Drosophila melanogaster: one gene and its partners. The gene in region 1 interacts genetically with each later gene. Each region holds a gene or a part of one and is shown on either strand. Other genes may lie near its edges.

Region 1 (8,474 bases):
ATAAGTGCATGGTCAGCATTCACACGCCGACCAAATACATATTACATACGTACATACATATCTCGCTCTCCCGATAAGCCTAGATATATAAGATATACATAAGAACGCCGCTCCGCTGCTGGCGTACCCGGCAGCGCAGCTACGCGGATTAGCCTAAGTCCAAATATATAAAAAACTGTAAAATCAGAGAGACTCGGTAGACGTTGAGCTGACAGAACCATTTCTGCCTACTCTAAAATCAAAAGAAGAAATTGAATAAATATATGTCAGCCCGACGGCTGCCTTCAACTTAAAACGGACTTGTGTTCTTAATTGGAGTTCATCATTACAAGGGACGCACCGAGCAGGCAGCCAAGTTCTTTACAGAGTGAGTGGGCTCCTTCCTTTCGAGATTCCTTCTCCATTCTACATCCTGATCATTTTAGCCTGGGCTACGAACTCCCGCTGAACTGCAATCCTGCGGACTTCTACCTGAAGACCCTGGCGGACAAGGAGGGCAAAGAGAACGCGGGGGCTGTGCTCCGGGCGAAGTACGAGCACGAGACGGATGGACTCTACAGCGGGAGCTGGCTGCTGGCGCGGAGCTACAGCGGGGATTACCTGAAGCACGTCCAGAACTTGTAACTCCTTAAAGTGATTAATTTGAGGAATAAAAACTGACTCTTCAAAACTTCTCTTATGTTTCAGCAAGAAAATAAGGTGGATATATCAGGTGTACCTCCTGATGGTGCGCTTCATGACCGAGGATGTGCGGAATATTAGGAGTGGGCTCATCGCCTTTGGCTTCTTCATGGTAAGTTCTCAAACGCTGTGCCAAATTTAGGTAGTATTGTAATCCCTAATTGCAGATCACCGCTGTAACACTATCCCTCATGTACTCCGGCATTGGAGGACTCACGCAACGGACGGTGCAGGACGTCGGTGGATCCATCTTCATGCTCAGCAACGAGGTGCGTGCATTTCTCTCCTCTCCACCTTCAGTCACTTATCTAGTTCTCCCAGATGATCTTCACGTTCAGCTATGGCGTGACGTATATATTTCCCGCCGCCCTTCCCATCATCAGGCGGGAGGTGGGCGAGGGCACCTACAGCCTGTCCGCCTACTACGTGGCCCTGGTGCTCTCCTTCGTGCCCGTGGCCTTCTTCAAGGGCTACGTCTTCCTGTCGGTGATATATGCCTCCATATACTACACGCGCGGCTTCCTTTTGTACCTCAGCATGGGCTTCCTGATGAGCCTGTCCGCGGTGGCGGCTGTTGGCTATGGGGTCTTCCTCTCCAGCCTCTTCGAGTCGGATAAGATGGCCTCCGAGTGCGCGGCGCCCTTCGATCTGATCTTCCTTATCTTTGGCGGCACCTACATGAATGTGGACACAGTGCCTGGACTAAAGTACCTCTCGTTGTTCTTCTACTCCAACGAGGCGCTGATGTACAAGTTCTGGATCGACATCGATAATATCGGTGAGCTTACCTCCAAGTAGATAATCAGGATGCATGTTATCCAATAATATTTTATCCAGACTGCCCCGTCAACGAGGATCATCCGTGCATCAAGACCGGAGTGGAGGTGCTGCAGCAGGGATCCTATCGCACCGCCGACTACACCTATTGGCTGGACTGCTTCAGTCTGGTGGTGGTGGCCGTCATCTTTCACATCGTGTCCTTTGGGCTGGTTAGGCGATACATTCACCGCAGTGGTTACTATTGATTGGGGCGCTTTTATTATACTAATTTCAGTTTACACTGTTACAGAACTTGCTTCAGCTTAATTTCAGTTGCATTGAGTACTCGTGCGGTAGTTAAGTAAAATTTGTAATTTTTAAGCACAAAATGTTCTTAATACATCTAAACTTCAGTGGAAAATATTGCATTCATCAAATTTGAGTCGCATAAAATAAATCCCATATAGATCATGTATGTATGCCGTTACTAAAAGAAATTTAACTTGCATTTGAACTACATTTGAGCTCAAGGAAAAGTCGGGAGTCTTGCGAGTCGAAGAAGAGGCGATCTATAAGATCTATATCAGATTATTTTACTTATACCTATTATTATACGATTGTCTGTCATTATATATAAATGGTTTGAAAGGGTTTAAAGAGACCTGACAGTTGAATTAATAAATTAAGCTAAAACAAACAAAAAATAATGGAAACAAAAACGAGTTAATCTTTTTGCTTACAAGGCTAAAGAGCTAAAACTCATTTACACGTCGGGCAGCTCCTTGCCTCTGCTCCTAGAATTTCAAGGGATCGGAGAGGATTTATGGGCATCATATTATGATAATGACGTTTCAACAATTATCCTATTGGCCCTACTCTTCTAGCAGTCAAAGGAAATCTGTCTCTTGGCCTTGCCTCCGGAGTGGTTGCTGTTGCCCACGGGTGGCATTTGGAACTTGCGCGCAGAGCTGTTACTTCCGCCGCCTCCGAAGTAGGGACTGATGTTCTGCTGGTCCTTGCCGGTAAAGTTCTTTTGCGCCGAACGGCGAGCCTCGCAGTCCATGTTCTCGCGCAGCGCGAGTCCGCCTAGGTTACTCTTCGACGAGCTGTTCTGGAGCGAGGCATTGGGCCGGATGGGTTGGCGTTCCTTGCAGAAGAGATCCTCCGAGATGCGATCCACTATACTCGATTGCGTTTCGGAGCAGGCATTTGTGGGCAGGCTCATTTGACTCAGACCGAAGGAATCGATGGAGTTCTCGCTGCCGAAGATGTTGTGCAGGGATCGCGCCGAACCTGCTGCTGATCCTACGACCGATGTTTGCGAGAGAAGCAGTTTACGCTGGGCAAACTCCTCCGGACCGATGTAGCCCGAGAGGCGGGTGCTCGACAACCGCTTGGCCTCGCATTCCTGACTGCGCGCCTGCAGGTAAACGTCGTCCGCATTCTTCCCCGCAATCACGCTAAAGGCAAACTTCTTGGCCAGCCTGCGGAAGGTGGAAGTTCCAATAGTGCCTATACGAGTATTATATCCACCCCTTACTCACCTTAGCAGTGTTTCGCTGTTGCTGGACGAATGTCCCAGGTAGAATTCCTGGAAGATGCGCTTCACAATGCGCGTAAGGTCTGCCGCATGCTGACGGAATTGCTCGTGCTTCGGCGTAATTTTCTTCTCCTGCAGTGCCTGCGACACAGCCCAAAGGAGTTTCTGTGGCAATAAACGAGATTAGTTATGACGGTTAAGTGAACGAATCTTAGGGATAAACCATACACAAAAGGCATAATTTGATGTATAGATAAATAGAGGCTCACCTTTCGCTGGTTATCAGTCATACTGCTATTCGGTGTGGCGCTCATCTCCGAGTGCGCTCTGTGCAGTTTACTCGCCAGTGGCGTACCGCTTGCAAAAGATGCCGGGTTAACCAGGTTGCTACTGCTGCCGCTCAGGCCAAGACTGAGCCGCGTCTGCCCAGGGGTAGCAGCCGCGTGCTGCGCCAACTTTAGCTGAACACCCGCAGTGGAGGAACCAGCTCCAATGCAGAAACTCTGGCTCTTGATCTTTAGAGCGCGAGGAGTCAACCCACTGGGTCCACTGCTCTCGGCCCGGAAGAGCTTGCTGCTCTGGCTAGCCAAATCAGCTGAATCCTCGTCGTCATCGCAGGCGTTTCTTTTCCGCTTCAGGATCGACTCCAGCTGGTTACTGCTGCCCTGGTGATCCGGCGAAAAGAGAGCGCGCTTCGACCGCTCTACGCGGTTCGCAATCTCCGGCTTGAAGAGCGGTTTGGGCGGCATTAGCTGCTGTTGCTGCAGGGTTTTGGCCGGACTTTGGAATAAGGCACGCTTAGAGGTTTCTCTCGAAGGTCCTGGCTTGATGAGATCAGTGCGGTAGAGGCGCTTTCGGGCGGATGAAGATGGCGTCTTGCGAGCTGGTGCAAATGCATCATTAACAAAAGTACATTGGCTTATCTTATCAAATCACTCACCTTTTTTCTTGCTGCCCGGCGTCTTTCGCTTGGGCGTGGCCTTGCGTTTATTTCGCACTTTTCTGTAAGCCAAAATCATGGAAATTAGTATGTGTTTGGAGTTTTTAATCACAAAAGCTACCCACTTCTTATCTAGCATTATTTGTGGTCCAATTGAGCTGTTAAGCTTCTGTGAGTTGGTGGCTAGATTCGCAGATGAAAATATGGCACGTCGTTTGGCCAAATGACTGAGGCGATTGCCAGGCGATTGGGTTAACATTCTGTAAGGAGTTGGGTTCAGTGAGTTAAACGTTCACACGGCTGACTAATTTATTACTCACTTCATACGCATGTTTCTCTTCTTGGCGCTCGATGGCGATCTCACATAGGACGTCGCGGTTTCCACGCCCACATAGCGGTCCACCACGGACATGCTGAGGTATTCATTTTGTTCGGCAGCCTTGTTAAGATTGTAGCTGTGAATGGAAGCGGGTAATGAAAACACTGCAAGCACAAACGAATCCTTTAAAGAGCATACCTCAGTCCATGATGTCTTACTCCCAGCACATCCCGCCAGCCCATGTTTTGAGCCTCCGAGAGACTGTGAGATGGTCGAAACAGTGAGGTTGTTTCGCTAATGCCACTGTCCTCGATTCTGGGTGTAGATGGTGGGCTATCCTTGGAGAGAAAGTTTAGCACGTTTGATTTCATGCTAAGCACCATTTTGATGACGTCCACATCGGGTGCAGTCACCGAGGGCGGCGGACGAACTCCCTGTAGGCAGCGACGAATCCGCCGATACAGCTCCCGTTCTCTCCTGCAGTTCTCCAAGAAGTGCGACCGGGGGTCGTTGGCGTTCAGCTGGGTGCTCGAAAGGTCCATCGTCTGCTCATCCACAAAACTGGACTCCGTGGGAGCATTCAGCGAGGAGCGAGCTCGTGCGTCGCTGGTGCACTGCGACTCTTCCAACACTTCGGGCAGATCCTCCAGCCTGGTGGGCGGCTCTTTTTCCGGTTGCTCGTCGTTGTCAGCTTCATCGTCGCTGTCGGCAAAGAGATCAGGTGAGCGTTCGTTGTTGAACTTCTGCTGCGAGGTGTTGAGCGAGGTTTCTAGCACGTTTGACAGACGTGGATTCGTAGCATTGGAGGGCCCAGGCTTGTCCTGAATTTCGGGCTTTGCGGTCAGGCTCTTGATTTTGCCATCGAAGGAGAGGCTGCCCGTTGTCGTGGTGGCTGTCGTGGCCACTGACACGGCCATGTCCACGGCATTGCAGCTGTTCTCCTCGATGAGGGTGTCGTAGAACCGGGGAAAGACAATCTTGCCCGGCGAGGGACGTCGGACGGCAGGGGGCTCCACCTCCGGCAGCTTAAGGTTCTGCAGCTGGGAGCCATACAGACGCTTGTTCACCTGGCCATATGGGCTGTCTCCGAAGCCCAGGAACTGCGATTCCTGGCTGCCCGTCTTCGGATTGGGTGGCGTTGGGGTTTCCTTGATGGGCTGGCTGCTCAGTGCTTTCGGTTTCATCAGATACGGTAAGTTCATGTGATCCTCGTCAGATATGTGGCTCTCATTGTTTTCACTGAGCGAAGACTATAAAACACAAAGTTTCAGCAAGCTCGCAACCGCAAGGACACCAATTAGTCTTACCCCGCTTCCTGTAGAAGGCTCCGATTCGTAGCTGTTGTTTATCTTGTTTCCAATAGTGGCCATTCTTCGAATAAAAATAGATTTCTCGTTGTAGTTATAGCTTCTTCTATAGCCCGAAGTTATTTTAGGCACGCGGCATTTTGTACAGGCTGCTCCAGTTTGTGGAGCCTGACGAATGGCTAGATTGACGGGGCAGAGAAAAGTGAAAGTAAGCACGGGGAGTCACTGACGATTTTCTTATCTTAGCCGCATTAATCTTCTTGGCAGTGCATTTACCTTTTGGAAATGTGGCACTTTTCCCAGGTCGGGGAAAACTAAGTTACCCAAGCGAAAAACGCGCGTAGAAGTCTGACTTTTGCGGACATTTAACGCGCTCGAGTCGCACGCTGCACGCCTATCGCTAGTATCCAGTTGTGCCCGCGAGCTTGTAGCTCCTAATGCATGTTGTCTAGCTCCTTAAAATACCTTTAATTTGTTAATTTATCTATAAAACACTGTTGTTAAAATCGCCTGTATGAACATCTGCCTGCTTTTGGCGGTGGTACTAACGCGTCTGGGAAATGCAATTAGTGATGGGCGATAGTTTTGCTATCGGGTGGCATCTTCCAAGCGGTAATCGGGGTCGTGATTTTTCTAGTAGTCATATTCCTGATTGGAATCCTTGCTAACCAATCAAACTAACACATAAATATATTTTTTACGAATATATTTACTTGTGAAACAAAGTTATTTCCTTGCGAAATTCTACTCTGCAAGACCAGCTATCGCTGCCAGCAGCAACTATCGCACCTCGTGTCAGCCCTGGTAAACAGCTGTTCGCGCATAACATAACACAATAACAACAAGCCTTCAAATTTATTAAATCTTTTATCTTTACTGCTGACTGCGCGCTTTTAATCGCAGCGCCCGCTTTGAAAACCCCCACCGACTCCGATAAATTCAGTTGTGCCCAAGAAATCAGACGCAGCAGGCCGCCAAAGGGCCAATTACGCGCTTCCCAACCACTGGCTCTGCAAGCAACAACAACAACAGCAGCAACAACCACTGAGCCAACAACACATCATCTCATCCATTTTACAAAAAAAAAAAACGTCACTAAAGTCCACGGAAAGCGATGCGATTGAGCCGCTAATCTCGGCGAGATGCGCGGAATCGAGGGCAAAGTGCTTGTTCTGGGCTCGCGAGGTAAGCACACACGTTTCCACCCGTTTCCGATTTCAATGGCCATTCGGCGGACTCCATTCAGAAGTCTCAATGATCCGCATAATGACAGTAATTCCATCAATTGCCCAGTGATAAGATTAACAACCGGGGTGAGCCGATAAGCCGTAGCCTTGAACTCCACTGGCCCCAATTGGGAATCTGCAGGCTGCATGCTGCAATCTGGATTTAGGTAGATGCAGAAGAGAGTCTGGCAAAGACAGCGTGTCTGGTTGGGATTAGGCTGAACTAGCCGATGAATTTAACCACACACGATGTCATCACATCAAGATGACGTTGCCCTTGGGATTTGGATTTACGATAAGAAATCTGTGTTAATGGGCCAAATTTGATGGCTTCCGTAGTGCACAACTCCGAAACTTAAAATTGTTCATTTCTACATTTGTACTCCAAAAACATATCAAGGGGGAAGCCTCCACCGTCTACCCTCTTCTACACAACAAAGTGGACATTTTTTGCAGCGTAATCGGCTGACGAATTCGCAATGAGTATATGTATTTAAGTTTGGCCCAAGGTCAACTAAGGGGGCTTATATGCACAGCGGGTGCAGTATTTGCTCTGCTTTTTCGCCAAACAAAGGGACGCATTGATAAAAAAAAGGCGGTACTTTCCTCGGAATATACGTTCTTCCCATAATCGCCGGATGATTCAGTGCATGCACATACTGCAGCTCCACGCGGAGATTCCCCGTCTGATCAAACACAGAGGGGCTTCTCTGAGCCACAAAAAAGTGGGCGCCGAACAAAGAATCTCGTGGTCGGTAGGCGATTCCTTATCGCTGTTTACCACCTTTTGCGGGCTAGTGCGTCTCCAGTTTTTGTTTTGTTTATTCGGCTCAATTTGCGTGATTAATCAGCGGTCAATTAATGCGTGCGCCATTCCACGTTCACTGATAAGCTGCACGGCATTATGCTTGAAGCGAAATAGGGCTCACGGGTACACAGAAAGACAATGCTGTATCTCTCGATTAATTGCATAATTTGTGTTCTTGTCTTGCAGGTGTGGGCAAAACACGTTTGGTCATCCGCTACATAAAGAACACGCTGCACCGCAAGGAAAGCGAGGTACCCACGATAGCCGTGTCCTTCTTCACGTGCAACATCATCCTGGACGAGGTCAAAATTAAATTGCAAGTGCGTATACAGCAGCCAGAATATGTATCAGTGCGACCAACTCTTTTGGGGCGAACGCAAATGGAATTGCCTCGTAAAAAAGCCGAAGCCAAAGGCAAAGCCAAAGGAATTTGCCACTGCCCCACGCGCCCACTAATCCTATTTGCCGGCTGGGCTGCCGGAACGCTAATCTGGGTTTATTCTGCCACTGGCTGCGCCGCGGGTACTTCTCGTCCGCCGTCTCCGCCGCCCACTGTTTTGGTCACTTTATTTGTCCTTTTTTGTTTGCAATTTGTGCGTCCGCTGCACTTTGTGTTATTCTCTTTTTTGTTAGCTCGTTCCTTTTTTTTTATAGTTTATTGATAAGCTAAACGGGAGCGGCAGTAGTAGCAGGAGCAGCAGCAGCACCAGCTTCGCCCATTGCCAAAGGGTTACCACCCACTTGGCCCTGGCTGCCGTATTTACTCTTCGGTGATCCCGATTTTATGCGCAGCCATATAACAATGGCCACTACAATGGCCATACGTTTACTCTCAACGCCAAACTGTTTTTTCTCTAACATGGATGCACAGGCAGCTAGGTGGATAGGCTTTAA
Region 2 (7,203 bases), 180 kb from region 1:
TTCTTGGCAACGCCCAGCGTGGCGTAGTAGTCCTTGGCCAGGAGGTCGCGCGTGGTGTGCAGGCGGCGCACTTGGGGTGCGTCTGCCCGGGTACTTCCGCTCCCGGCGCTGGAGAGGATTCGGTAGGAGGTCGCGCGTGGCGTGGAGAACGCGGCTGCCGCTAGGCAACGGCGCACCGCCGGCAGCTGCCGGAACACGAATAATTTTTTACACGAAATCATCATTTTTCCATAAAAGTATCAGATTTTCAGCTTTTCAACAACATGCCGTAACATCCATGCTGTCCTACGAATGTCTGTCTCTCTCTCTCTCACTCGCACTTGCTCAATGTGACCGCGTGCGTAGCGAGCGAAAATACCAACCGGCGTGAAAGCGAATGAAATATCGTTATATACCGTTAAAGTTAAAAAAGCCGTATATTAAATAAGTTAACTAAAGTTTTGCCTTTAAAATAAATATGAAGTGTAACTCAATGGATATAATAGTTTTCCCAGGCCCAAACAGACTGAAATAACTGCTTAGTGAATGAAAACAATGACTAATTGCATTCCTTCTATCTAATTTATGATAATTGAAATTCTTCGATTTTCGATTTCCTAGGCGACACAGGACCTCTTGTGTATCCAGCCGCCTTCGTGTACATCTACTCGGCTCTCTACTACGTCACGTCCCACGGAACGAACGTTCGCCTGGCGCAGTACATCTTCGCCGGGATCTACCTGCTCCAGCTGGCCCTGGTGCTGAGGCTGTACTCGAAGAGCAGAAAGGTGCCGCCGTATGTGCTAGTGCTCAGTGCCTTCACGTCGTATCGGATCCACTCGATATACGTGCTGCGACTGTTCAACGATCCGGTGGCAGTGCTGCTCCTCTATGCCGCACTCAATTTGTTCCTGGACAGAAGGTGGACCCTGGGTAGCACCTTCTTCAGCTTGGCGGTGGGCGTTAAGATGAACATCCTGCTGTTTGCGCCTGCGCTCTTGCTGTTCTACTTGGCCAACCTGGGACTTCTGCGGACGATCCTGCAGCTGGCTGTCTGCGGAGTGATACAACTGCTGCTGGGCGCTCCTTTCCTGCTCACCCATCCTGTGGAGTATCTGCGGGGCAGCTTTGATTTGGGACGCATCTTCGAGCACAAGTGGACGGTCAACTATCGCTTCCTGAGCAGAGATCTGTTCGAGAACCGCACCTTCCACGTTTCGCTTTTGGGCCTGCATCTGCTGCTCCTGCTGGCCTTCGCCAAGCCCACTTGGACCTTTTTCCAGAGCTACGTGCGCCTGCGCCGTATTGAGGATCAGCTGCAGCCGCAAATAGCCCAGCAGAACCTCGAGCTGAACGCGCAGAAAAGACCAAAGAAAGTGGAAAAGGACAAGGACAAGGACCAGAAGAAGTTTACAACCGAGCAGCAATCCTTCCTGAAGGCCTTCGAGAAGAGCCTGCAGAAGGCGTCTGGAGGAAAGGCCACTCCGGCACCCGCACAGGCGGAACCGGAACGCTATGGCATCCACTTCGATCGCTGCACCCAGCTGGCCCTGCTGCCGTTCTTCCTGTGCAACCTGGTGGGCGTGGCCTGCTCCCGATCCTTGCACTATCAGTTCTACGTCTGGTACTTCCACTCGCTACCCTATTTGGCCTGGTCGACGCCGTACTCGCTGGGCGTGCGCTGCCTGATCCTCGGACTGATTGAGTACTGCTGGAACACCTATCCCAGTACGAACTTCTCCAGCGCTGCCCTTCACTTCACCCACATCATACTGCTCGCTGGGGTGGCCAAGCAGCTTGTCCAGACCATGCGGATTAATAATGCGGCCAAGAGGGAGCAGCAGGAGCAACAGAAAAAGCTGCAGTAAAATGGTCTGAGTGCCACTTGTTAGCCATGAGTGCCACATATAAACCGTTTTGATTATGCCAAAAAAAAAATTGAATAAACAGTACATTAAACGAGTTAGTTTTTAGAGAATCAATCAAGGCAGCTTTAAAATGGAGTTACTTTTATTCGGGTACGTTAGTCTTTCGTATCTTTTGGCTCTGTACAGAGGGCGGGGAGTTGGTTACCAACTCGTCCCGCGATAGATGCAACCTACTATCTACATAAAATAACTTAAACAATGTCCGCTTAAAACTACAAGTGCAATAATGGTGCTGTGGCTCGAGGCTCCGCGTCAATCGCTGCCCACCGCCGTCGTGGGCGTGCGCATGCTGAGGGGCGTGGCTGCGGGCGCAGTCACTGCCGGGGGATGGGGATCAGAAGAGGAGGGAGCCGCATTCGTTGTCGTTGTTTCCTCCGCCGGCACACTGCTACTTCTCTGAATGCTAAAGAATCGCAGGAGCGTCGTCTCGCTGTTTCGCCTACTGGAAGTGGGCGTTTTTGGCTGGGATTGGGAATGGGAGTGCGAGGAGCTGCCAGCCGGCGTGCCACCGCCTCCGTCCGTATGGGAGATGCGTCTGCGGGGCGAGGCGTGTATCCTGGGACTGCACTCTGACTGCCGCAGACTCTGGAGGCGCGGGGATGCCAGCACATCGGCCTGCTGCTCCTCGCTGATCTTTTCGCTGAGCGTCACATGGGCCCTGCCACTCATCAGCTTCTGTTTGCGGATATTCGTCAGCCAGTCCACCTTCTCCTTCGCCTTCCGCTTGGGCGACATGATGCCCAGGTGCGGTGCCTCGCCATCCAGCACGTAATTGGGCAGGTTGGAGGTGGGCGAGTAGATGGCAGCGGAGATCGGCGGCGGATTAAGCGCGTCTGCAGCCACCGCTGCTGCTGCCGCTGACGTGGTTGGCGGGGAGGTGTACACATGGTTGACATTCTCACTCAAAGGGGAATGACTTGGTGTGCTGAGAAGCTTGTGCAGTGGTGAGACATCCTCCGCGGCAGAGTTCTCCTTTTGTCTCTTGCTCGGCGAGGCATCTTCCTCGTTTATGGACTGAAGTTGTATGTGCCTGCAAGCAGTTTCCTGGCTAGAAGGTCCAAAGAGCCGCCTTCCACGTGACTCCAGTGGCTTCGCCCGTTTCTGGGGCTGTTCTGTGGCTTCCGTCTCCTGGCCAGCTACGCCCAGCATTTCCAGGAACGAACGCTTGGTCGTCGTCTTTTCCACGGAACCTGGCGTCCTTTCATTTTGATCCATAAGGCGCTTCAGAGATCTTGGCGTGGACTCCAGATCTCGAAGATTGTACTTGTGATTTCCACTAGACGGACCAAATGCCTTCTTGCCGAACTCCCTGACGTAGGAGGCAGTTCCTCGGTACTTTTCCGCCCGCTCCGCCTCGCTGAGGCCATCCAGGTCGGGTCCAATCCGCCAGATTTTGTGACGCGCATCATCGCTGCACGTGACAATGGGGCAATCGTGGCTGGAGCCCCAGGCCACGCAGGTTACCTCCACCGTGTGTCCGGCCAGTGCAACGAGCGGCTCCTCGGCGTGGTCCAGGTTCCAGATGTAAGCCCGCTCGTCGCTGCTTCCGCTCAGCAGATACTTGCCGTCCGGGCTGAGGCAGGATTTGATGTAGAACGTGGAGTTAAGGAGTCCCTTGTAGCACGCCAGCGGGCGCTGCGAGTAGGAGGCCAGATTGTAGCAATAGATGGTGTTGTCCATGCAGTTGGCATACAGCCTCGTGCCTGACGCGTCCACAATGAGGTTGGTGAATCCACGGAAGGTGGAGCTGCCGGCATATGGCAGCTTGTGCCTGGGCAGTGGCTCCTTTTTGTAGGCTGTGTAGTTGCGCCGCAGGTCCCACACCTTGATGACTCCGTCACCGGCACCACAGGAGATCAACGTATCGTTGTCCTGGAAGGCCAAGCCAGTGATGCTGCTCGAGGTGGTTCCTCCGGCCATCTTGGGAGTGCGTGTGCGCTGCTTGCGCTGTGAGACTGGCGTGCCCGGTCCGCCCGTGTGACCGCTGTAGATGCAGTTGTCCACGCGTGACGTGAGGTCCATATTGAGATTGGCCCTGATGTCCCAGATGAGAATGGCGCCATCACGGCCGCCGGTGGCGAAGACAGCGGGATCGGTGCGCTTAAAGGCCGCCGACTTGACGGACCTTGTGTGACCCACATAGGAGTTCAGGCCGCGTATGCCGGAGCCCGCCACCTCCCACAGTCTGGCAGTGTGATCGCCCGAGGCGGAGACGAAGCGCATCTGGCCGGGTGCCCATTCCAGATCGAAAACGGCGTTGAAGTGGCACTGCGGGCCCACCAGGGACTGCTCCTCCGGCTGGTGGTTGCGCTGGGTGGTGTCCTGCAGCGTGATCTTGCCGTCCTCGTTGGCGATCGCCAGGATGTGCCGATAGCCATCGCAGTTGGCGAACTTGGCGGAGAAGATCGGCGGTTCCGGATTGAAGTCTGGGCAGTAGTTGGCCGGCGCGATGCCCCGCCAGCTGTCCTCCTTGGCCACGGAAAGGCGGCGCAGGGCGAAGTCGTAGGTCCTCTCATTGCCTAAAAAGAAAAACGAAAACCAGAGGAGAAACCATGAAAATAGTGCCGTGGCTTTGTTTTCCACGGAACTTCTGCACGATCAGCAGTTTCCAGTGGAGCAACTAGTCGGGTTTCTTCACCCCTTAGGCAATGCTCTGTGGTCAGGTGGCCGTGCAGGATGCACATTGACCAGATGGCCAGGAAAACCCATTGAAACCTTTTAAAAATCAACACCTTTGATCGCAGGAAATTCGAGCGCCAAAAGTGAGATTCTCCCGCCAAGCGAAAGACTCACCGTAGCCATGCTCCCTGGCCCGCAACTTGTTGTAAATGTTCATTGTGCACTCCTCTTGGCGGCTGCTGCTCGTAATCTGCGTTTTCAACTTTATTTCCTGCTATTTCCTCTGAAATAAATCAACCTTCGAGGCATCGAAAATATTTTTCAACGACGCAGCTGGACTCTTGGGCAGTGTGACCGTGCTCAGATGGGAAGTAAACGCATTCTGTTGCGAAAGACTGGAGAACCGCCAAAAGTGAAAATAATACTAGCCACGGAAGATTGATTCGTTTCAGTCTAACATTTGGTTGCTACAAGCAGCTGGTCTCACAGGCTGATATTTTGTTTTTGTTGCTGTTCGCTGAGTTGTTTTATGTTTAATCGAAGTTGCGCATAAATTTAGCTGCAAATTGTACGCAGTTCGCGGGCTTTAATGCAGCCAACCCCTTTCAGTTGCTTTCGCTAGCACTTCGATTTGCGGACACTGGTCATCAAGCACACATTACACCCATACACACACATACTTGGACTCAAGGACTCAAGGATTCGATTCAAGGACTGCAGCAACAACAAAAACAAAAACAGGTGAGCGCCAAATTGGATTTCTATTCTGGTTTCAAGGGGGCGGGCATCACACACAGCCTGTTGCAATCAATAACACCCAGAAGGTAAAGAAACCCTCCTGCTGCGAAAACGGAACACGCAAATGCAGGACAAACAGGAAAGCCAGGAGAAGAATGGCCCAACGAACTCAAGTACTCTGTGGTTTCGGCTGTAGCGCACTTCCGCACTCCACTGGCGTCCTTGGGGGACCCACACTCCGTTCCTTTGAAGGGATAGGCCTTCTTTTATTGCACTTCGCGTGACCTTAGCCATTTGGAGCAGTCCGTGTCCTGACACGGTTCTATTGCCGGGCGTTATCTAACTGGAACTGGCATTCACTTAGTTAAATTAGCAACCAGGGATGCCCTGCTCCAGATTAGGCTTAGTCACGACTTCTAGTTAATACCTATGTGTGTCTGAACTCTGTTGACCCGCCAGCGGTTTCCTCCCCCCAGCACTCCGTCACCCAACTAGCTCTGATCGGGACTCCTTGTTTGGACAGTTGGAAGCACTGCCGCATTTCCATTTCGGGCTCCAGCACGTACGCCGCGCCGTTAGAACGACCTTATAGATACGGTCAGAGGGGCGCAGTTGGTCATCCATTATTAATACGGCAGCATTCCTATATCTGTGTGTGGAAAGCAGCAAAGTTGTGGAGCAGCGGAGCTCTAACTTTGACTGTACATTAAATTCCTTATATCAAATTTATTCGTTTTATGTTGTGTTTACGATGATAACCCAATTCGAATTCCCCAGAATGTCTTATTATCGTTAGATTCCTGTTTTGTTTGTTAAAAGCTTGTGACGAACACTCGATAAGAAATTATTCGTTACAAATAAAGTTGTGCGTACATTAATCGTTTTGTTTTGTTCTTTAAATAGAAATGTGACTTATGTTAGTTGATTCCATTTATTAGTCTAAACAGACTTCAGTCCTACAGGACTCTCCTCCAATGTTTCAGTTCCCAGCACTATAGGTAAAAGTAATTGCATTTGAGTGACTCATTGTAGTTAAACGTAGGCCACACAGACTGTTTTATTGCCCACTTCACGTAAAGCACAAAGAAACACAGAAGCACAGCGAAGAAAGAACCAGGTTTCCTTTATCTAAAGATACGGCGCTGATGTACATGGCCCAATCATTCATGTTTTTATATCTCTGTCTATAATTCCCTTATCAATGCTTGCAACTGGAATCGGTGTAATATATGTGTGATATATAGTCGCGATGTCGGTGGCCGGGCTTCGACAATGTCTGCTGCTGTGGAGCGTCGACTACTGGAACTTGGAAGGTAAACCGCGGAGAAGAGCGGAGCTGATTTGCTTTTCAGTTGCCACCATTCAGTGTTCAGTTTTAAGTTTTCCTTGGTTGCTGAGTTGTTGCTCCGTTTTGTTTGCTCGTACTGCTCGTATTTCTTTGCCACAATGCTTTAGTCAATGAATATGCAGCGATAATAATGTCTGAATCTGAATTCCAATCCCACCCCTCCCATCCGCTTTAGTCATGGCGGACAATGTCTTCAAGTCGCACGATATCGGGCTGCGGGCGCAGAAGAAGATCCTCTCACGCATGGCCACAAAAAACATCGCCAAGACCTTCATCGATGGCACGACGGCGTCGCTGCTGGACAACCTCTACAGGCTCTGCAAGATGCACACGGGGAACAAGGCCAAGGCGGAGAAGCTGATCAAGAACATCATCAAGATTGTGATCAAGATCGGTGTGCTCCACCGGAACAATCAGTTCAGCGACGAGGAGCTGCAGAAGGCGGAGCTCTTTAAGAGAAAGTTTCAAGTGAGTCTTAAATGCTACTCCTTAACTACATGTTATTATGATTTTTTTTTGTTGCAGAACACGCAGCTGTCCATCATATCATTCTACGAAGTGGACTTCACGTTCGACCTGCCGTACCTGCAA
Region 3 (6,600 bases), on another chromosome or scaffold:
AGCACTGAGCTGGATTCCCAGTACGATGACGAAGATCTGGAGGCGCAATCTGTGACCCTGCTTAGACCTCCTCCTCTCGTGCAAACGACCACGGCAGAGACGATTCTTTTGATTCCTCCGGCTGAAGAGCATGTGGCGCAGATAAAGAGTCGTTCCTGGGTGACCACCACAACACCTCAGAGTCCGAGTGATAATCAAGTAACTCTAGCTGGTCCAACGAGCACAGTACCACCACCGCCACCAGCTTCTCCTCCACTACGAGGTGGAGGACGGTCCACCATTACCAAGGTCTACACGCCGTATCAGCAGCAAGTGGCTCAGCCCACGGCAGAGGAGTATCAGAGAACCACGCCCAGTGGTGATAACGAGGGCGTGGCCAGCGAGCATCAACTCACGGCTAATGCACAAAAACGCACGGAACTGGAGCTCCTTCAGGTTGATCGTGTGGATCGCAAGGACGGAATGGATTGGTACTACGAAAGCTTTAAGAAGAAACGAGACTTCAACGGTGGAGCTGCTGTGCGGAAAACAGCCCACAAGGAGGTATTCTACGACGGAGTAGCTGCCTCGTCCAGCTGGAATCGATTGCACAAGGAGATTCTCTTTATCAGCTTGTTATTGTTGTGGAGAGCGTGTTGAACGGTTTTTAAAGCTATTTAATTTAGACAGTTGAAATATTTTATTTTGTACACATAAATAAAGAATTTATTTTATATATAAAGAAAAACTTTGTTAAAAGATTGCGATTTAGCACGTGGCTAGACTACCTGAAAAGTCAAAAAGAAAACCTTTATTAGTAATCTATATTTCATTCATCATAACTAAATATGCATATTTTTAATCAGATGGTGATGCATGTTAAAAAGATTTCAACATAGTTTTTCTGAGTTGGGTATGAAGTTGTCATCAAGAAGGCAGTTTAAATAAATAAATAATATTTTACATTGGCAATACCTTTTAGGTTTTTCCAACCGAATCAGTTGTAAATCTTGTGAAAGTATCATTAGTTTATATTTCCTGCAAAATAAAAGAGAGAATATAAATTATTAATTGGCCCTTATTGCCTTAAAATTTGATAAAATGTACTTGATTCAGATGGTGATGCATGTTAAAAGGATTTCAACATAATTTCTCTGATTTGAGTATGAAGTTGTCATCAATTAAGGAGTAAGAAAACATTTAATTTAGTGAGGATTTACCTTATCACTGGTTCAGTCAAATTTCAGTTTTGAATAGGAATCCCAATATCTGGAAATATTTCTGTAAAATACACAAAGACTGTTTAATTATACAAATACTATTATACATAAACTAAGTTTCAATATTTTATTCAGATGGTGATGCATGTTAAAAAGATTTCAACATTATTTCTCTGATTTGGGTATGAAGTTGTCATCAATTTGGGAATTAAAATAATTTGTACTCAAATGGTGCGGAGGATTACATTACCCTTTAAGGGAGATCAAGGCATGATTAGATTGTATCCCAGGCTCCCGGCTGTTTTCAATGCCTGTAAAAATACAAAAATATTACACTTGTAAATTTATAAAACATATTTTTTCCACAGTTTTTATAATTGGGAAACAGCAGATTTTCATTTCTTTGCCTATATATACGGAATAGTCAAGCACACTTAACTTGTGCACTAAGTAATTACGTGGAATGCTCTTCACATTTATAATGTATCACCATGTAATTTACCATAATTTAAAATCTTATTTAACCCAACTTTAACCAAATGCCAATTTTATATTGTTAATGACAAATGTGAATATGCAGTTATCTTTCCTTTAACCTAATTTTTTATCCATTTTGCAACATGATGTATGCATTGGGTAGAAAGTCATTATGGGTTGTTAAATAAGCTGAAACAATAGTATTTCTTGTAAACTTACCCCAGAATATTTCTAAGTGTCTCCAGGTATCTCACATTGCACCACGTGTAAATGGTGATCCATTCAAATTGCCGTTCTGGTGCGGTATGTGTATCATTTTATTACATTTATCATTGCATCAGTTTTTAAAGGAGACGAGCCCATACGGTCAGCTTTGCATGCGTTATATATTATAGCAATCGGTTTCATTTTATTTTAGTTTTAATTAGAAGCGCGCTGACGACCTTTACCAAACGAAATTCGGATAGAAAGAAGGCAGAAGGTTGCCGGATGTCCACTGAGTTGCCGGTGCTTTGGGGCTGCCAGACCTTTTGGTTGCATAAAGAAAAATATTTATATTAAACATAAATTAAACATAAATAAGCTTTTTTCTTGAAAATAATATAATAAATAATATGATATAAATAAAACAATACTATAAAATAATACTAAAATATTCACTTACTATTTAATTGAATACATAAGAAGGCTCATCTCTATAAGCAATCATGCACTGATAGGATAATTCTAATTTCTAACCTCAGTTAAAATAGTTGTGGAGCTAAAGTAAAACTATAGACTTTTAACTGCACATATACTAACTATTTAGACGGTATTAAATGCGTGTACCATATCGGTTAACAAGCGATACCATCGCAAAAGAACTCCCATCTCCAGAGCGCGCTGCCACCTTGAGCGAATTGGCGCAATTTAAACAAAAATAAGGGAAAAGTTACAGTTGCTGCCGCGGTAGAGACGCTAGAGGAGAAACTGCAAAAACTCCAAGTGTCAGGAAGATCCACCAGATCCGTCCACGTCGAGATTGTTTGGTCCGCTGCGAAGATATAGCGAAGCATCCAAGTGGGTACGTCAGGTGGAGGGTGGAGTGAAAATGTTTATACAAGCCTGATGCGTATGCGAATTGTATTTTTCAACAGTCCGCATCGCAATTTGGATTAGCAATGACGACCCCGCTGCAGACACGAATGGCACTGGCCGAGATTCCCGACCGCCTGGAGGCGCTGCGTATGGCCAACACACCGACGAACTCCAATCGCCGGACTCCGGATGAGCCGACTCCAGCGGCCATCATAAACACTCCGAATGCTAACGGAGGACTGGGACTGCGGGTGGACAACGATGTAAACGTGGTGCAGGCCCAGGACTTTGTCTTCTCTCCATTGCCCTCGCCAGATGAGCTGGTCATTCGGCAGCGTGGTCGCCGTCGCTTTACCACAACATATTCTCCAGATAAGGTCAACGGAGGTGGTGGCGCAGGAGGAGGTGCCAGCGGTGGTTCCTCAATGCGTAGTCCTTTCCAGCGCACGCCCACCAAGAACTTTCAACTAACAAGCGGCATGATCCTGCGCAGCTCCCCTCGCAAACGCCTGACCATGGGCAGCACTCCGCCAGAGCCCACACCAATGGATACCTACTCGCCCATCAAGATGGCCACCACCAAGCAACTTTGGCCGGGAACACCAGTTGTAAAGAAGCTAAAAATGGAGGATAGACCTGTGGGGCAGACGAACACAGATGCGACGCTACCATCCCTGTTGCAGGGTCTATCGCAGGAGCAACTAATCGATTTGATCATGAACAACATTAAAAGTGCCAGTGATGAGGGAGAAATACGAACGCAGCTGCCCACGCCAGACATAAGGTACGTTAACCCTACGTTACATTTGGTTTGGACAGTTGCTACCATAAAAAGTATATATATTCTATTTAACCATGTCCGTCCGAAGGTCCGTCCGTTTCTACACAATCTAGTCACTCAGTTTTAAAGCTATCTGCAAAAAACTTTAGCAAACTGTGATCTTAACGTGTTTAGGTATACAAAATCTATAAACAATCGTTAGACGGTATGATATATGAATCTGAAATAGAAACTGTCGGAAAATGAATTTAAATATAAAGGTGTCGTAGTTTTTTTTTATATGATTGTAAAGTGTTTTTATTCGGTTTACACCAGTTTCTTGACAACAATCAATTTGTTTCCCTAGAAACAATCAAAACAATTAATTGAAAATAATAGAATAGACTAGTTTTTGATAGTATAGTGTATTAAGATTCGGCTTCCGGAAGTTACGTACCTTAGTGCTGTCTATTCTCCTTTTAAAATGAATTTGTGAAAAAGGGTACATAGGTTATGTAAAGGTCAAAGCAACGAGACGCTTAATAATCTCTTCACAGATGGGTGGTGCGTTTTGAAAACCTAGAAAATAAAATCCAACAAGCAAACAAACATATACATAAATCGTTTTGTCTTGTTTTCAGCGCTTTGGAGCAGGATCTGCACCATGCTAAGCGGCTCATCTTCAAGTCCCTTCCCACCTCCCGGCTGTGCAAGAAAACCGATGCGGCGGCCTACTCCAAGGCGTCGATGCATCTAAACGAATTTAAGCGGGTGCTGCAATCGCAGGCCAAGCGCCTGCACGACTCCACTCACTGGGACGCACTAGTGGACTACGTATCCATGGCCTGGCAGTGCGTGGCTAGTACGCCCAACTGGGAGAGCCATGCCCACAATGCGGTTCGCCGGCAATGCTTCAAGCTGTTGGCGTGCTCCTGCTATGCGGCCATTAAGCACGGAGGAATGCGATTGGGTCAGCTGCGACTCGAGACACTGGAACGCAATTTGCGCGAATGGTCCAAGGACTATGAGGACGTGCTGTCCTGTGTGAACGCCCTGCAGCGTACGCTTAACAGCCGTAGCAGCTTGTAAACACTGTGGAGACTATAGACTTTTAAGGCCGACTTGCTGAACTTGAGGTTTAGTGGACCGAATTTAGTGTGTAAGGCGAAACTTAGCCAGTAAGCGTATGATATTTGGCGCAGCACGTGTTATAAAATATTTTTTAATATGTTCCTCGACATGTTGTCCTATTTAAAATGCACGCAAGGAGTTACTTCATTATTTAGTGATCTAAGCCACACGCTAACTAAAGTCTGTTAGCATTATAAACGTGTATTTATTAACGCTTAAATATATGCTTAGCAAGTAAGTTTGATTACCACTGGACATTTGTTGAACTAAGTACACTTATTTGAATGCTACTACGACTAGATCCTACTTCTCTATGACTGACTTCACGCTGTACAACAAGTTTTCTCACATCATGACTTCCCCTCGAAATCTTAGCTTTGCCAAAATATTCGTCTCCTTCTTCGGCAGGTGAGTATACTGAATGCAGAAAGCAGGTTCAATATTAGTAGCACTAACACATTTGGCACGTGCTGGCCACGAGAACTGCCGGAAATGTGACGCCCTGGAAGTAGAGAAAGAAAAGTGCAGATTAACTTGTGTGTTCCCTTGGCGGAGTAAAATGATATGCAACAGTAATATATTCACTGGAAAACGGTTGCTACTTGTTGATGCCGCTTTTCACATATTCATTTATGAGCGAGCTCCCATTTAAGGCAAAGTGTTATGTTTATTATGAGAATCTACTCGAAAATTTCTTGGTATAAACTACTCACAACGATAATATACAACCAAGGCTAATTGCCCTTTCGAATTTATAGCTCACCATATATCGATGTTGTACTATATGATTTAGAACGCGCTTTTGACGCCCAACAAAAAATTTGGTGTGAGCGATTTCAATTAGCATTATAAACTAAATATAATTAGCATGGTTCGATTTTCTGCCAGCGAATGATATTGACGAGATCTCTCTGGCATTTTTTTTTCTGGCTTGTGTATATTTATCGAAGGCGCCGTGTGGAAATTGAATATAATCGGGGAAGTATGTTTACGTTATTAAATTAGCATTGCTTTGTTAATCCCCCTTTCTCATGTGTGGAGTGGCATGGGCATTTAGCACGGATATATCAAGCTACCAGATGAGGTGATTCCACGAATGCCCTAGGGGTTGGCAGTTGTATCTAGTACTTACACTTCTTGATCCAGATCTCAGCACAGCAGCACTCCTTGACCTGGACGAATGTGAAGCAGGATTCCACGGATGATGTGTGCACCTTCTGATCCGCGAAGCACACGTGAGGCACATAGGGCAGGCCCTCTGAAAATAAGGGTACATTTCAAAATTAGTTTCTAATAATAAACATCCATCAGTTTTTCACTCACAAAACTAATATAGCCAATAAATGGTTGGAAAATCAGCACAATATTTAGAATATTCAATGTGTTGCCCCCGTTTCGGAATCAAGTGCCTAACTATTTATAATAAAAACCACGTAATTAAAATATACAATTTATGGAATTTTTCGCTTTGAGTAGAAACGGAAATCAATAAAATAGAATATGTTTATTAGTAGCTGCGCGCACGAAAAGGCTGCAATAATTTTCAAGAAAATATAAATTGCGGCGAGTGACTAAATATGAGCGGCATTGTTTTTCGATCGGATCATAGCATGTGTTTGTATTATTTTCCGTTTGGCCTGTTTATAGTTGCTCATTTGTTTATAAAACTCAACGTGTTGAATTTTATGAAGTTCGATGTGTATATTTTCAGGAACATCGTCGAATAGAAGAAGAAAAGCCCACACAGAGAATAGCCAGTTGTTGTTGTTGTTGCTGGTGCGTGTCGCAGATATTTATGCAATTATAAAATTATTACCTAATGTAAACAGACACGGACAGCGTGTAATATGTTGGGTCAATTCAGTGACTGCCGCCCTGGCAATTGTTAATAATCTTTAGCGACCGGCGACTGACAAGCCGAGGACAATGGGGTAACAATTCAAATCGACAGATTGT
Region 4 (8,476 bases), about 15 Mb from region 1:
AAGTTAGTATTTTTATATGTAGAGGGTTGTTGTAGTCGAGGGTATGTATTTCCTCTAAAATGCGTTGTTTGGGGAAATTGGGCTTTGTTGGGATATTGTTGGAAATGATTTTTTTGAATAATGGGTTGTGGGTTTATGTATTGGTTGGGTCTGAAATAATTAGGTGCGTGCCACATGGGTGGGTTGTTAGTTATCTGCTGTGTATAGCTAGGTCTAAATGGTTGAATGTATTGATTAAAATTAGGTTGGAAGGGTTGGGAATATTGTGAGTAACTTGGTCGATTTTGAGTTTGAACATTTGTATTGAATTTTTGTGTTTTCGAATTCTGGTTAGAATTTGAATTTTTATTACGATATTCTGGTTTTTCATAAAATTCAAAATTAATGTGTTCTTCATAAATTCCCTCATTTTGTGCAATGGTAATTAAGGATCTTAAGTCTGTAATATCGTGATGGGCTAAAATAGTGAATAATTGTATTGGTAGTTTCCTTATCAGTATCTTAATAGATTCTTTAATACCCTGAATATAAATAAGAAAATCCGATTGGTTACCTTCCAGGTGTAGTTTCGAAATTAGTAATTGACGTCGTCTCTCCGCTTCTTCGCAGAATGCTCTTAGGCTTCCTCTGTATGGTGTCTCCCTGAAGTTCTCCAGAAGTTTGTAGTTTGGTGTTTGAATTTTAAATTCCGCGATGAGTCTTGCTTTAAGGGTAGGCCAATCTTCGATGTTCGGAAGTCCCAAAGATCGTGTAATTTGTCCGTCCAAGTTCCTTTCGATGGCTCCCAGTAGAATCCTCTGTTGTCGGACATCATTTGTTTGGTAGAGCGAAATTACGTAATCCACTCTGCTGATAAAGGTGTGAAGGGTTTCTGGATCACCCTTGAATGGCATAATGTCTTTAAGCTGCCGACGGGCTTCGGCAAGGTTTATGTCGCTCAGCGCAATAATTGGTTGTGACATTTTTATTGTAAAATTTTTAACTTTTGTGTTTTATTTTTTTGTTTTGTTTCGGATTCAATGTTATTATTATTTTTAAGCTTTCTAGTTTCACTTGTTTGTTTTTTTTTGTTTTGTAAATTTTTGTGTTGTATTATTAAAATTCTATATTGTTTTAATTTTTTATTTTTATATGTTGGTTTTAAAACTTAGTTGCCTTTGGACTTAATATTTTTGTTTCGTATTTCACTTCCACTTATTATTGGATAACCGAATTGGAATTATAATCCAAGTTGAAGAGTTTTCACGAATTTATTTTGGGAGATGTTTCGAGCACTGGACTATAAAATTTAACTTATTTTCCACTCGAAGGTTCTTTTTTTTTCGGATACTTTTGTATCCTACCGACTGCGCCAGTAAAATTGTTGTTTTATTTATGAGTCGAACTAATGTCCCGTCAGTTGACTAAGGACAACGCCAAGAAATAAAAAATAGTTTTTAGGAGAAATAGTTTCACGACTTTATTCTTTGGATCTCAGCTTAAGACTAAAAATCAAATGCAAATTGGATTGAGGAGAAGCCTCAGTATTTGAACAATATTTGTATTTCGGGAGAGCCTCGCTCTTGGGTTCTTAAGATTAGGTAGCGTTGAAAGAGGGCAGTCAAATCTGCTTAGGTCAGGCTTTAGGATGTTTACAAGAACGGCTGCGCTGCCAAAGATAAACGAATGCTGCGCAGCTGGGATACGTTATGGAAAATTACTAGAGTGCATTACTGATTTCTTTGAAATAATGGAAGTGGCTGGTTTGGACCACCCAAATACGTCACTATATATTAGTGGGATGGACGCAGTTTTAATAGGCAATTTAATATGCGTTTTTTTATGAGGTAGTTATATTATATTTCTTGCCTAACTTCGTCGTTATTAAAAAAGGTAACTAGGATAGAATAGCATTTAATGAATCGTCTAATGCTATGTCTTCATCTGTGGGTCTCGTCGGAGGAGTCGGCTCCACTCGCAACTGCTCCATTTTCGTGTAGAACTTTGGGCACTTTTGAAGAACCTTGGAGTATTCCGTGAATATTTGAAAGGACGCCCTTTGGAGCAGCGTTTCTCCCATATGATTGGAGGCCAGTATTTTTGCCAAGTTCTTGTAGTCCCGCTGCATAAGGCAATCCCGGGCCAGTCGTAGTTTCTCGTACGCAGTGGATCGTCGAACGCTGAAGTAAAACTCGTTACTGGCCGGAGGAGCACAGGATGGGTTTTGGTTCACCCAAAAGCCATCTTCGGGACTGGTGGCGATCTCAAGCGTGCGTTTCAAAACATTTGCGGGTATCCTTCTGGCTGGAAAATTCTCACCCTTTATTTTACGCGGTGCAGTTTTCAAAGGCGATGGCTTCTCATCTTTTGTTTTCATTTTATATGGCGAAAGCGAACATAAATGCGTCGCGAACACAATGCGTCGTGCTAACAGTGATAGGCAATGTTAACCTGTTTCACACCAATATCGATAGGCAGTGCTGCCCGCTGAGCTATCGATTACCCGCAGCCAATCGATGTTTTGATTCGTCCGATATCCCAAAAAGCAATATTTTCCGCATGCAACCAAAAGCGAAATAATAAAATGTTGCCTGTGTAATTGTACTTCCGAAGTTTTGTCGATTTGAATAGTCTCTCAGGCGTCGAAGGAACCCCATTTGTCCAAAAGGACGCCGTTTGTCGGAGAAATCTACTTCGCAGCCGGAAAATTCACAGGAAGTCTATTTGCCTTGAGTTCGCAAGTTGCCAATTTCTTGACGACCCCAGTGCAAAAGTCGCAAAAATATTACGAATATTTGCTGGTAATCATTTCAAGGGTACGTATCGAAATACAAACTGCAATCCCTTCCCTTAAAGGAAAAGCCAGCAATCAATAACCGATCTCCACGCCCAGGACTAAGCAAAGCCGGTGCGACGAAAGCAGGGCAGGATCAGGAGAGCAGGAGCGGAGTGGAGATCCTGCTGGCAGCAGGGGCCCTAAGCTATGAGTGCGGCCAAGAAGTACAAGCCCATGGACACAACTGAGCTGCACGAGAACACAGAGAATATTGCCGCCTGCCTGAAGAAGGCCGAGAACGTCGCCCCCACCGCTGCTGCCGCCTCGAGCGTGGGCCGCAGTGCCTTCGCTGCCCAAAACATGAATTCTGCGTCCACCAACGGCGAGCGCCTGCCAAACTTCTCCAAGCTAGGCGGCAGCCATGGCGAGATCCGCACGGCTTCAACTACCTCAAATCTCCTCAATCGCATGGGGGCTATTCACAACAGCAAGCCTGGCGATGTCAAGAAGATAGTGATTAAGAACTTTAAGGGTAGGTCCCGTCTAGATCTCAACTGTTTGTATACTGCATGATTCAACTTCCTTCCTTCCTTCCTTAGATAAGCCTACACTGCCCGATAACTATTCCAAGGACACGTACGTGAAGCTTGAAGAAGCCGTTATCGCCATCCAACTCTCCAAGCCCATTAAATATTCGCTGGAGGAGCTCTACCAGGCGGTGGTGAACATGTGTAGCCACAAGATGGATGCACAATTATACGCGAAACTCAAGGAGCTAACAGAGCAACACGTAAAGCGCAATATTAAGCTCAAGGAGCTCACCGGCGGTAGCATGGACAAACTGGTAAGTTGCTGTTTAAGGAGCACATTTAAAGGTTTACTCGTCAACTTTTATTGTCTTTTAGATTTTGCTGGAAAAGATCAACCACTGGTGGCTCTCGTTCTGCCAACAAATGATCATGATTCGCAGCATATTCTTGTATATGGATCGAACTTATGTGCTGCAAAATTCGACCGTTCACTCGATTTGGGACATGGGGCTGGACCTTTTTCGCATCCATTTTGCTCAAAACAGCGTTGTCCAAAAGCGAACCGTCGACGGTTTACTAACGCTTATTGAAAAAGAACGACAAGGCTCCACCGTGGACCGTGGTTTGCTGAAGAGCTTGGTTCGCATGTTATGCGACCTGCAGATCTACACCAGCTCCTTTGAGGAGAAGTTCCTCGACGCAACCAATCAATTGTATAAGGCTGAGAGTCAACGCAAGATGCAAGAACTGGAAGTTCCCGAGTACTTACAACACGTCAACAAGCGTTTGGCCGAGGAGAACGAGCGTTTGCGTCACTATCTGGACTCGAGCACCAAGTATGCTGGCGAAGTCAATAATAAAAACAATTATTAATGCGTTTTTTACAGACATCCACTGATTTACAATGTGGAAAAAGAGTTACTTGCCGAACACCTAACGTCAATATTGCAGAAGGGCTTGGATTCATTGTTGGAAGACAACAGACTGAGTGACCTTACACTGTTGTACGGGCTGCTTAGTCGAGTCAAAAATGGAACATCCGAGCTGTGCGGCAATTTCAACGGTTTCATTAAGGTATGGATATGTTAAGTAGTATAAATTTATTTAAAGATACCTTTGTTTTAACTGCAGTAAAACATATTAATAGATCGCGCTAATATACTTACTTTCAGAAAAAGGGACGCACCATTGTCATCGATCCCGAGAAGGATAAGAGCATGGTCCAAGATTTGCTCGATTTCAAGGACAAAATGGATGTGATAGTTCGCACCTGCTTTGAGCACAATGAGAAATTCACAAACTCGTTGCGCGAGGCCTTTGAGTTCTTTATCAACCAACGTGCCAACAAGCCGGCCGAGCTTATTGGTAAGCGCCCACTGTCACTATATTTAAACGAGTTTGCTAAAGTTTATTCTTCCATTAGCTAAATACGTAGATATGAAACTGCGATCTGGCAACAAGGGAACCACAGATGAGGAGTTGGAAAAGACTCTAGATAAAATCATGGTTCTGTTTCGTTTTATACATGGCAAAGATGTATTTGAAGCGTTTTACAAAAAGGTTGTGTCCATCTATTGTATGTCGAGCATTATTTAATAACGAATACCATCTTAGGACTTGGCCAAACGATTACTTGTGGGCAAATCGGCATCAGTGGATTCCGAAAAGAGTATGCTCTCCAAGCTTAAGCAGGAGTGCGGTGGAGGGTTTACGTCCAAGCTGGAGGGCATGTTTAAGGACATGGAACTGAGCCGAGATATCAACATTGCGTTCCGCGGACACGCGTTAAGCAACAACCGCGATGTCCACAACTTGGACTTGTGCGTCAGCATTCTTACCATGGGCTACTGGCCTACATATGCACCTACAGAGGTCACAATGCCGCCACAGTTCATCAATCCTCAGCAGATTTTCAACAAATTTTATCTGGAAAAGCATAGTGGGCGGAAGTTGCAGTGGCAGCCTACATTAGGAAATTGTATGCTGCGTGCTCAATTCGATGCGGTAACTACTAATGGCTCCTACTATGTTCTATGCGATTGCAATGTTTACGTATGTTTCACAGGGACCGAAAGAATTGTTGGTCTCGCTGTTTCAAGCGCTTGTGCTTCTATTGTTTAACGATAAGCCAGTTCTGAGCTACGAGGAGATATTGGCCGCCACCCTCATCGAGGATGGAGAGTTGCGTCGAACACTTCAGTCCCTGGCTTGTGGGCGCGCCCGCGTCATAACAAAAACACCGAAAGGCCGCGAAATCTTGGATGGCGATCAGTTTGATTTTAACAATGAGTTCACAAACAAATTGTTTAGAATCAAGATCAACCAAATACAGATGAAGGAGACAGTAAGTGGCTTTAGTTTTGATGTAATTTGCACACACTTAATCTTTCCCCTTTTCCATTAGAATGAGGAGCAAAAGGCGACGGAGGAGCGTGTGTTTCAGGATCGTCAGTATCAAATTGATGCGGCTATTGTGCGCATTATGAAAATGCGAAAAACGCTGAGCCATAATCTTCTCATCACCGAGCTGTTCAACCAGCTTACCTTCCCTGTCAAGGTCCGTATACTAATCCTATTTGTTCTAAGTAGAAAGAAGCTAATATGTTCGTTGGTATTCCAGCCCGCTGACCTAAAGAAGCGAATCGAGTCGCTCATCGACCGCGACTACATGGAGCGAGACAAGGATAATCAAAACCAATACAACTATGTGGCATAAATGGCCACAGATTCTGTGAAATCCGAACACCGATTCGATTGTAATTCGCTCTATACCATACACATACATACTAGCAGTCTAATGAAGTTTTTGGAGTGCCCTCGTCCGATCGGCGATGTTCAGAGTTTTTCAGCTGTAATTTCGTTTCTATAACTAAATCGTTGAACAATCCGCCAGCTAATAGTGTAGCGACAGTTCTTTTTGTAAGTTACCTTATCATACAATAAATTAAGCGTTTATTTTACAAGCCGAGTCCTTTGAAATAGGTCATCGCCCTCGGAACGTCGATGCCTCCAGCAATTTAAAAAAGTTTTCGAACCGAAAGCAAACTAGGTGTTCAATAAACTTATTTATTGGACTTATTCTAATTTGTTTACTTTTAATTGATAATTCTCCTTCAATTAACAATAGAAGTGACATTTGCAGGCTAATTTTCTAAAGGAAACATTAAAATAATTATAACTCGTACTAGTAGCTCTGTATGCAAAAAAGAGATACGCATAACTTAATAGTTTTTTATTTACCATAAATAAAAAATTACTTGAAAATATAATGCACTTCGTGTTTCATTTGTAAAATATTACCAGCATTACTGCTTCAAAAAATCAGCGTCGAGCCCTTTGTTAAGCAGTTAGCAAAGGAATATAGTATATATACAGTTACAGATAAAATTGGGAAATTAGGTAGATTATATACAGATCAGAAATAAATATTGCTATCGCTTTCGCGTGCAGGGGTCATATTAAAAATGACATTGAGGCTGGTTTAGGTATCACAAATTGCCTTGCTGTTATCCTCCTGTCATTCTTTCGTATGCAAATCAAAGCTGCCAACTTGAAAAGTTCTTAGTGGCTTTTGTAGATATATTACAAAAATATTTGTAGTGTCTCCCGACAATAATACCATTTACGCCTCAACACTGTTGACGCTGTATTGTGAGCTGTCGTACTCGGACACGCTGTCGGAGCCGTAGCCCCCAAATGCTGCCGCCGAAGGTCGCACACTGCTGGTCCTTATCCCATTATCTTTCAGCACATCGGGCACGTAGATGGGTGCCGGACCGGCAATTTCCACAATGCTTGGGCGGCGCGTGGCCGCACACCGCTTAATTGGTGACATAAAGGTGAACAAAGTCAATGTGATAGCCAGGCTGATGATAAGCAGCAGGAATCGAGCCATTCCGTTATCGCCACGGAAGAAACAAATCATGGCCATGACCAGTACCAGGATCACGACCGAGAACTTTGTCATCGTAACTGCAGTGGAGTGGATCTTACCACCCTTGCGTGATATCATGTTTGACGGACCGTAGGCAAAGTAGAGGTTGTGGCGATCCACGAAGTGTTTTAGGCAGATGTAGATCATGGCGAACGGCATAATCAGCGGACAGGCAACGCTATACACAATGGCTATGGTGAAAACGAGCGTTGTCCAGGCGTAGTGCGTTCCGAAAGGAAACTCGATTAGAATAGCCTTACGAATGTACGGCGTTTCGGCCTTGGATTTCGCCTTTAGCAATGACCAGATATATACAATCAGCTCCGGGAAGCGTAGCAGCTCCAACGCTGTACCGATAAACGCAGCCGTAATGATGTAGTTCACATAGAAGGAGCCGCGATCCGGCAGGAAAATGCACTGCCAGCGATCAGTCTGATTTAAGAATCCCCACTCTAGCAGCGCCTGTGCCGATGTCAGTCCGAGGGAAGGCAGAATCATGATCATCATAAGCAGATAGCCAAAGCACTTCGTCATGATTGAGTAGTTCTGCTTGGAGCGCGTGTAGTGCCGCATCCACTTGTCCGAAATGGCAACAATCACAGGCATTAGAGCCGAAAGAGTCCAGAGCATCAATGTGGGCAGGAAGTCGGCAACGAGGGGCGAGATCTTACCCTCTGTTTCCTTTACCCATGGTCGACTGTTTAGAAGGCTTACCACCATGGCCGGTGTGGACAGGAAGAAGAGAACAAGAAAAAGCACTGCATTCACACAGAAGAATTTCAAGTACCAATGACTCTTATTCACATTTAGGTTCTCCCAAAAAAGATCATCAGGCGACGGAGCGAACACCAAGTGCCATTGGCGGTAGGTGCCCGGTGTAAAGTGCGTTACTATGTTCTGGGCCTCCTGCACAGTGGACACGGTGATAAACGCAATGTCCAGGGGCTCATTCATGGTGGAAGCACGCAGACGGGCAACATCGCCGGACAACTTGCGCTCCTCTCGCTGATAATATTCGTAGGCGTTCTCCTTTTTGCAGGAACACATTTCTGGTTTAACCTATAATAGACGGTGTGAAACGGATTCTTTACATCAATGTTGAAGTGAATGAACTTACCATGAGAGTATCCCTGTTCCTATGGTGCTCGCAGTACAATCGTGCTTCATGAACTCGCTCGAACTCGGCGTTCCTTACGTATAGTCGTGAAATGTTGTACGCAATTGACACATTCTCGATGGTGACGTCCGGAAAGAGCT

The links.
Region 2: of mi (region 1) and l(2)dtl, changing one suppresses a phenotype caused by changing the other (phenotypic suppression), as found in Drosophila melanogaster (one study listed by BioGRID).
Region 3: of mi (region 1) and CG5199, changing one suppresses a phenotype caused by changing the other (phenotypic suppression), as found in Drosophila melanogaster (one study listed by BioGRID).
Region 4: of mi (region 1) and Cul4, changing one suppresses a phenotype caused by changing the other (phenotypic suppression), as found in Drosophila melanogaster (one study listed by BioGRID).

The regions. Positions count from the first base shown.
Region 1 is NT_033778.4:23,521,485-23,529,958, reverse strand, and holds mi (minus), read right to left. Parts: upstream 6,104-8,474; 5' UTR 5,823-6,103; intron 5,726-5,822; 5' UTR 5,610-5,725; coding exon 5,547-5,609; intron 5,490-5,546; coding exon 4,438-5,489; intron 4,376-4,437; coding exon 4,241-4,375; intron 4,181-4,240; coding exon 4,046-4,180; intron 3,983-4,045; coding exon 3,921-3,982; intron 3,864-3,920; coding exon 3,250-3,863; intron 3,146-3,249; coding exon 2,985-3,145; intron 2,925-2,984; coding exon 2,321-2,924; 3' UTR 1,707-2,320; downstream 1-1,706. Other genes in the region: RabX1, read left to right, coding at 6,689-6,731, 7,767-7,900.
Region 2 is NT_033778.4:23,700,175-23,707,377, reverse strand, and holds l(2)dtl (lethal-(2)-denticleless), read right to left. Parts: upstream 4,902-7,203; 5' UTR 4,744-4,901; coding exon 4,701-4,743; intron 4,427-4,700; coding exon 2,160-4,426; 3' UTR 1,975-2,159; downstream 1-1,974. Other genes in the region: CG5504 (uncharacterized protein), read right to left, coding at 1-224; Alg3 (ALG3, alpha-1,3- mannosyltransferase), read left to right, coding at 601-1,847; sigmar (salivary glands marred), read left to right, coding at 6,514-6,577, 6,788-7,080, 7,138-7,203. UniProt on the Drosophila melanogaster protein: Substrate-specific adapter of a DCX (DDB1-CUL4-X-box) E3 ubiquitin-protein ligase complex required for cell cycle control. The DCX(DTL) complex, also named CRL4(CDT2) complex, mediates the polyubiquitination and subsequent degradation of E2f during S phase.
Region 3 is NT_037436.4:20,448,812-20,455,411, reverse strand, and holds CG5199 (uncharacterized protein), read left to right. Parts: upstream 1-2,547; 5' UTR 2,548-2,739; intron 2,740-2,812; 5' UTR 2,813-2,836; coding exon 2,837-3,537; intron 3,538-4,154; coding exon 4,155-4,602; 3' UTR 4,603-4,880; downstream 4,881-6,600. Other genes in the region: atk (artichoke), read left to right, coding at 1-639; CG5910 (uncharacterized protein), read right to left, coding at 5,016-5,146, 5,777-5,902.
Region 4 is NT_033778.4:8,100,336-8,108,811, reverse strand, and holds Cul4 (cullin 4), read left to right. Parts: upstream 1-2,493; 5' UTR 2,494-2,795; intron 2,796-2,872; 5' UTR 2,873-2,962; coding exon 2,963-3,287; intron 3,288-3,354; coding exon 3,355-3,599; intron 3,600-3,660; coding exon 3,661-4,121; intron 4,122-4,172; coding exon 4,173-4,359; intron 4,360-4,457; coding exon 4,458-4,650; intron 4,651-4,708; coding exon 4,709-4,845; intron 4,846-4,899; coding exon 4,900-5,289; intron 5,290-5,350; coding exon 5,351-5,629; intron 5,630-5,689; coding exon 5,690-5,842; intron 5,843-5,905; coding exon 5,906-6,001; 3' UTR 6,002-6,204; exon of another isoform or gene 6,205-6,267; 3' UTR 6,268-6,552; downstream 6,553-8,476. Other genes in the region: udd (under-developed), read right to left, coding at 1,877-2,356; Tmem63 (transmembrane protein 63), read right to left, coding at 6,908-8,278, 8,337-8,476.